Linked DNA regions of Canis lupus familiaris. The protein of the gene in region 1 interacts with the protein of each later gene in a pairwise test. Links are inferred from orthologs where the notes say so. Each region holds a gene or a part of one and is shown in the gene's direction. Other genes may lie near its edges. The genes, in order: SRF and ELK4.

Region 1 (3,731 bases):
CATAGATATATACACTCATATACCCATACCCAAACAAGGATGCCCACACATAAAACTACACACACACACACACACACGGATGCTTGCACACACATTCCCACACCCATTGCTGTCCACTAGGATACTCATGCATTCCATTCCAACTAGTATCTGGAAGTTTCTCTTGAGCAAGCAGTTTGAGTATCTCCTGTGGTTTCCCAATGCAGGTGGTGTTCCCCAGGTGTTCCTGACAGCACCATCTGGGACAGTGCAGATCCCTGTTTCTGCAGTTCAGCTTCACCAGGTAGGTGTGGGGGCACCCTTCACCTCACCTCAGCCAACCCAGCCATTTCCTTCTCTTGACTTTGGGGATTTCATTTACCCATTGGTCTAAGCCAAGATTCCCTAAGCCAGGAGGCCCATCTGTTTTCCCAGTCAGGCTCGTGGTGGACAGGCAGGCCAGCAGGGGGAAGCTTGAGCTGGCTGGTCAGTTCCTGCCCTCCTTTTCCTTACACACCCCCTTCCCTCCAGATGGCTGTGATAGGGCAGCAGGCTGGGAGCAGCAGCAACCTCACCGAGTTACAGGTGGTGAACCTGGACGCCGCCCACAGCACCAAGAGTGACTGATCCGCCCTGCCACCCTGGACAGATGGCCCAAGGGATGGCACCACTTATTTATTGTTGCCTTTTCACGTTTTCTTTACACACACGTTGACGGGCCGCAGGAGGGAGGCAGGGAGGAGGAGTGGGCAGCCACAGGACTGAGCCCTCTCACTCCAGCCAAAGAAATGGGCCAGCCTGCCCTCCACCCCATCCTCCCTCCCCCTCCCCTCCTTCTGGCTCCACCTCCCATTTTCTGTTGATGGTGGGGCTGTCCTCCCTCCTCAGACTCCCCTAGCCAGCTTGGCTCCATGTTTGCCATGAGTATTAGCTTATCCAATGGGACCGTGCCCCACCTTCCCACACACAGGCCTCTGTGGGACTAGGCACCGTGTTCCCCCGAGGAAGCAGTGGGGGTCCTCTCCCAGCCTCCTTGCTGACCTGCTGTCAGCACCGTGTCTGTCACAGGCTGGGTGACAAGAGCCCTATCCGTGCCCCTCAGGGAGCCACCTGGGGAGATGGGGCTTCTTCCCTCACAGGATGCCCTATTGTCCCTGTAGCTCCTGAGAGCTGGGCCTGTGCACAGAGCAGGTTCCTGGGGCCACCTGCCCTGCCCTGCCGGTCCCCTTGGGACTCCAGGAACTCCTGGGTCGGAGGGAACTGCCAGTGTTCCCTCTCACCCTGTCTTCCCCCTCTCCCCCCAGCTGCTTTACTTAAAAGTTGATTTTGAACTTTTTATTTGAGGAGACGAAGTGAAAACAAATCTATAAATATATATTTTTAAAATATTTAAACTTTTTTTTATGGCGTGTTTCTCGTCCCCCTCCCTGCCCAAGCTCCCCTTCCCTGGGGAGCCCTGGGGCTCCCCGGAACTGACTGGGCCTCTGGGGACGGAACCACCCCATGAGCTCGGGGCCCCGCCAGTGTGTAGGGGAGATTCTGGGACTGCCCGGTCCTGGGTTGTTGCCAGGAGAAAACCGGGGGAGGGGCCCTCAGGCCATGCCCCAACGGGGTGGGCAGGGTGACCTGCAGCCCTGGGTCTCTTTTTGCCCTCTAGGGCTGTCGCAAGGGAGAGGGAAGAGGGAGACCAAATGTGGGGGTGGGGGTGGGAGGGTGTCAGGTAGAGGCAACTGACTTCATTTGTGCCACACGCATGGGCATTGCAGCCTTGTGCTCCCCCAGGCCTGCAGCCGCCTGGGGCCCAAGTTGCAGTGAGCAGGGTGGGGTCTGGGAGGGGTTGAGAGGCAGGAATGGGGGTCAGAAGAAACGGGAGCAGCTCTTGGGCTGAATATAAAGATAGGGGAGCCAGAAATGGGCAGCTCTCCCAGGGAGTGAGCAGCTACTGTAACTTTTTTAAATTAAGACAAAAAGCCTTGAAGAAAATGACTTTATTTTTCTAAGTGTAACCTCAGTATTTATGTAATTTGTACAGGGGCCGTGCCCTACCCCACTCTGCCCCCTTTGGGGTAGACCTTGAGGATGGGCCAGCATAGGGGGAGGGTCTTTTACCCCGTGTCAGAGCCTACCTTCACCCCCTTTATCCAGAAAGGGAGCTTTTTCAGAACAGGGCAGCAGTTGGGGTAGAGTTTTATTAACCCCTGTGACTGCCTTCAGGAGGAACAATCCTGCTTCTGTGATTAGGTGAAGGGGTGGGGGAAGTTTGTGCGCACAGCCTAGTTATCAAGGGGATGATTTGCCGATGTGTCTGAGAACCCCCATAACCTCTAACCCCCATTGCTGTCTTGCCCCGATTTGGGGTGCCGAGATGGAAGTCACCGTTCTGGGCTTTCTCCTGGAGATAGCTGGGGGTTATGGGTGGCTTACAAGGCTGGGGCATGGCAAATCAGGGGCCAGAGAGTGGGGAGCTTGGGACTCAGGTCTGTAACTGCCCAGCCCCCTTTCTCTGCTCTTGTTTCACTCCACCATCACTCACTCACTCTCCACTCCCCCACCCAGGGGAGGAGACTGATGAATTCCTCCTCTCTTTCCCACAAAAGACAGACCCAGTGAGTGAATCAGGCAAAGTGCTTATAATGTGTGTTGTGTGAGCGTGGCCTTGGGAGAACATGTGTGCGTCAGGGATGAGGTGGCATTTATATGTGCAGCAACCCTTGGTATTTCCCTTTCTTGGTGGCTCTGGAGTGTGTGTGTGCGTGTGTGTGTGTGCGCGCGTGCGTGTGCCTGAGTGTGTGTGTGTGAATGGAGTATGTCAGTGGTTTCTACTTCCCCTGGGATGCTGACCCAGGAATAGTGGACATGGTCACAGTCCTATGTACAGAGCTTTCTTTTGTATTAAAAAAAAATACTCTTTCAATAAATGTATCATTTTTGTGCACAGACTGTGGAGTCTTTGCCTCCGTTTTTCCGCATAGAGAGGGAGGGAGGGAGGGAGGGAGGGAAGTATGAACGCGAACCAACCTCCAGCCGCTGCTCTGAGAAGCAAACCTGGCCGCCTGATGAGAACAATGGCAAGGCCAAGGGGCACTCTGGGCTGTGGAACTCTGCAACTTAATTGAAGGAACATTTCTGGGAGCTGGGGCCTTTGTCTTTGCGCAGGACTTTGTTAGCTTTCTAGGCCAACACAGAGAGGAGCAATTTTAATCAATAGGAAAAGTGATTCCACCAATCCAAAGCACGGCTGTAGGGTTTGGGAAACTCATGGCCACGTGACCCGGTGAGAACTCAGGACAGCTTCGGGGTTGGAAGTGTAGGTTTCAGGGGGACCGGGCAGGCCGACCCAGGAAACGCGAGCGGGCCTTCCAGGTGATGGAGGGAAAGGGCTGCGTACTTCTGCGGCAAGGAGCGACGTGACCGTGAGCGCGGGCTCCGCCTGCCGCGCGCCCCGCGCGCAGCGCCGCGGCCACTGCGCATGCTCCACCCGCGCGCCCTTCCGCCTCGCTCGGCTGTGGGCCGCGGGGGCCCCCGTAGGAGCCGGGCCGCGCCCGCCCGTGCCGTGTGACCCGGAAGGGAGCTGCTGAGGAGGCGGGGCCAGGACGGCGGGACCGGCCGCTGGCTCCCAGCGAGGGAGCCGGGCAGTGGGAGGTGAGAGGAGAGTCCTGCGGCTACCCGCTCCCTGCCGCGTCCCCTACCCGCTCCCTGACCCGCTCTCCGTGGGGCTGACGACGGGAGCCACGGCTTGCCCTCCGAGATTC
Region 2 (3,814 bases), on another chromosome or scaffold:
GTATTCTTCCTTCACTCTCAACTCTTTGAACTCCTCCAACAAGAAGCTTTTCAAACCCATAAAGATTGAGAGTCCAGCTGAGAAGCTGGCAGAGAAGAAGCCGCCTCCGGAGCCAACTCCGTCTGTCATCAGATTCGTAACGACCCCTTCCAAAAAGCTGCCGGGTGAACCTCTTGCTGCCGCCACGTCCCTCGGCCCCAGCATCTCTCCATCTTCAGAAGAAACCCTCCAGGCATTGGAGACTTTGGCTTCCCCCAAACTGCCTTCCCTGGAAGCCCCGGCCTCTGCAGCCAGTGTCACCGCCGCGTTCGCCGCCCCCCCCATTTCCTCCGCTTCCCCCTCTGTGCCGGAGCCCCCCAGGACCCCCACGCCGCCGCTGAGTCCTAATCCCGAGGTTGACACGGACATCGATTCCGTGGCTTCGCAGCCCATGGAGCTTCCAGAGAATTTGTCACTAGAGCCTAAAGACCAGGATGCGGCCTTGCTGGAAAAGGACAAAACAAGCAATTCTTCAAGATCCAAGAAACCCAAAGGGTTAGAGCTGGCGCCCATCCTCGTGATCACCGGTAGTGACCCAAGTCCACTGGGAATACTGAGCCCCTCTCTCCCCACAGCTTCTCTTACACCAGCGCTTTTCTCACAGGTAACTGACTCTTTCTTTTTAGTGCCACCGATGTTTGCATTGACTCACCTTTTAAAACATGCAGAATTTATAACCTCACGTTCTCATGCTGTTACCTGGGTCTGTCTTAGAAAAGTGGGCTGTGACCCAGTTCCCTGCGTAATCAGTGAGAGGTTTGGAGTAGCATCGTAGAAGAATCTGTTGTCTCTACAAGCAAATAAATATTTTTCAACTTCCTCCTAAAGCCAACTATTCTCTCTCTCTTTTTGGTCTTATAAAACTCAATGGTATCTTATAAAAAAATAGTGATAACATCAAAAGCTAGAAAACAATCCCAAGAACCTAAGAAAACCTCCTGGTGTGATGTTGAGTAACAAGTTTGTAGAGTTATATTAGTTATTTCTTAACTTACTCATCTCCTATAATATTTATTTATTTATTTATATAAGAGAGGGGGAGAAGGGGTGGGAAGGGAATCTTTTTTTTTTTTTTTTAAGATTTTATTTATTTGACAGAGAGAGAGCAAAAGCAGAGGGAGCAGCAGGCAGAGGAAGAGGGAGAAGCGGGTTCCCTGCTAAGCAGAGAGCCTGATGCAAGCAGAGAGCCTGATGCAGGGGATGCAGGGCTTGATTCCAGGCCCCCCCAGGATCATGACCCAAGTTGAAGGCAGGCGCTTAACTGACTGAGCCAACTAAGGTGTGCACTCCCTTTTTAAAAAGTGAGCAGAGTCCAAAGTGCTGAGCACAGAGTCCAGCATGGAGCTCGATCCCAGGACCCTGAGGTCATGACCTGAGCTGAAATCAAGAGTCGGATGCTTAATTGACTGAGCCATGTAGGCTCTACCCGTAGCATTTTTTTTTTAAGACTTTATTTATTTATTCATGAGAGACCCAAAGAGGCAGAGACACAGGCAGAGGGAAAAGCAGGCTCCATGCAGGGAGCCTGATGTGGGACTCAGTGACCGGACTCCAGGGTCACGCCCTGAGCCGAAGGCAGACGCCCAGACGCTCAACCGCTGAGCCACTCAGGTGTTCCCCCTCACCCCAATAACATTTAAATAGACCTCCCATTACTAAGGAGAACTGTGTTTGTGAGTTAGTTACCAGTTCTTTCTCTGCCCTTGACCAGATTGGTTTCTCTATTTGGGAAAGACCCTACAAAACACAAATTAGAAATATTTTGCCATTTATATTTCTTAGGTTGTAAAAATAATTTCTGAACTTTTCTCATGATAAAATTTCAGAGATCCTTAGTGGAGAAGAGGACAGTATTTGGGTTTAAGGCTATTGATATATTATTATGAGGTTGAAATGTAAAACTGGCGAGTCACCTAGTGATCATTTTTGTTTTGCATATTGCAGACTCCCATCTTACTGACGCCGAGCCCCCTGCTATCCAGCATCCACTTCTGGAGTACTCTTAGCCCTGTTGCTCCCCTGAGTCCAGCCAGACTGCAAGGTGCTAACACACTTTTCCAGGTAAATCACCTCTAAGTTTGCCTCTTGTAGTTGGGGCCTGACACATGAAGAAAGAGGCCAAAAGGCAGTGTGTCTTCACTCTTTAGTCTAATCATTATAAAACTTGCGTTTAATAAATATGCTTTCCAAGGGTTAGTTGGTTAGTTTTCCAGTCAGCAGACGGTTCCAAAGATATTCACAGCAAGGCTTCCTTTCCCTTTTTTTTTTTTTTTAAGATTTTATTTATTCATGAGAAACAGAGAGAGAGAAAGAGAGAGAGGCAGAGACACAGGCAGAGGGAGAAGCAGGCTCCATTCAGGGAGCCCGATGTGAGACTCAATCCTGGGACCCCAGGATCATGCTCTGAGCCCAAGGCAGGTGCCAAACCACTGAGCCACCCAGGGATCCCGGCTTCCTTTTCATTCTTTACTGTTACATACATTTCAGTTAGACCAAGAATTGTTCAGTACTATAGTAGATTTTGAAACCACCTGATTTCTTTTTTTTTTTTTTTTAAATCTTTTTTTTTTTTTTTCTTCAATTTTTATTTATTTATGATAGTCACAGAGAGAGAGAGAGAGAGAGGCAGAGACACAGGCCGAGGGAGAAGCAGGCTCCATGCACCGGGAGCCCGATGTGGGATTCGATCCCGGGTCTCCAGGATCGCGCCCTGGGCCAAAGGCAGGCGCCAAACCGCTGCGCCACCCAGGGATCCCGAAACCACCTGATTTCTTTGTCATTTTAAATGCTAGAAATTCTTTTTCTTTTTTGAAAAAAAAAATACATATATGTGTGTGAAAATTTGTGCATATAAGTCTCTTTTATAAGTCTATTTTACATGAGGATTTTTGAAAATGAAAACTTTTGAGAATGGCATATCAAATACTCTGTTTCTCACTCATTTAGAATTAATGTTTATCAAGATTTTATTTACGTATTATTTATTTATTTATTTTTAAAGATTTTATTTATTTATTCATAGAGACACAGAGAGAGAGAGGGGCAGAGACACAGACAGAGGGAGAAGCAGGCTCCATGCAGGGAGCCCGACATGGGACTTGATCCTGGGTCCCCAGGATCACACCCTGGGCTGCAGGCGGCTCTAAACCGCTGCGCCACCAGGGCTGCCCTTATCAACATTTTAAATATGTATTTAAAAAAGGATATTGTATACCCTTTAACCGAGATCATAGGGAAGGTCTTACAGCTTTTAACCAGTGTTTTGGCCCAAGCATCTAGACTTTAGAACTTGTAGAGTTTGTTTTGTTGATTCATTCACTTACTGGTAGACTTCCTTATATCTTGCAATTTAACTTTTTATTTGTTCTTTTGGGAAAAAAAATGAAGGAAAAAATTAAAAATCTTTCTACTTCTACATTTTTTTTGCGAAAAGTTCTGAATTATTGAATAGTGTTGAGAATGTCTCATAGTTTATTTTTTACATTTTTCCTTGCTTCTCACAGATAATTGAGTTCTAGAGTGATCTGAGACCTTAAACTGCACAGTGCTCATGCAGTTTCAGCATGGACTCTCCCTATAGAATTGATCTTAGAACACATGATGGGGGTTCTGTTCTAGCAGAGCATTTATGCATCAGTTATAAATAGAGTTAATGAATGGGCATCTCTTTCTGGACCTCTTTTTGACAGTCTGTGATTTGCTTTGTAATTGAATTATACTCTGTAGTGCATGAACTTTCTAAACATTTGTGTGAAGTTAAACGTAAAGCTGTATA

The links.
Region 2: the proteins of SRF (region 1) and ELK4 interact in a two-hybrid assay, tested with the Homo sapiens proteins (2 studies listed by BioGRID and IntAct). The link is inferred for Canis lupus familiaris from reciprocal best matches to the Homo sapiens genes SRF and ELK4.

What each region holds. Positions count from the first base shown.
Region 1 is NC_049233.1:11,860,049-11,863,779, forward strand, and holds the end of SRF (serum response factor), read left to right. Parts: intron 1-206; coding exon 207-283; intron 284-510; coding exon 511-606; 3' UTR 607-2,918; downstream 2,919-3,731. UniProt on the Homo sapiens protein: SRF is a transcription factor that binds to the serum response element (SRE), a short sequence of dyad symmetry located 300 bp to the 5' of the site of transcription initiation of some genes (such as FOS).
Region 2 is NC_049259.1:2,662,266-2,666,079, reverse strand, and holds part of ELK4 (ETS domain-containing protein Elk-4), read left to right. Parts: coding exon 1-643; intron 644-1,983; coding exon 1,984-2,100; intron 2,101-3,814. UniProt on the Homo sapiens protein: Involved in both transcriptional activation and repression. Interaction with SIRT7 leads to recruitment and stabilization of SIRT7 at promoters, followed by deacetylation of histone H3 at 'Lys-18' (H3K18Ac) and subsequent transcription repression.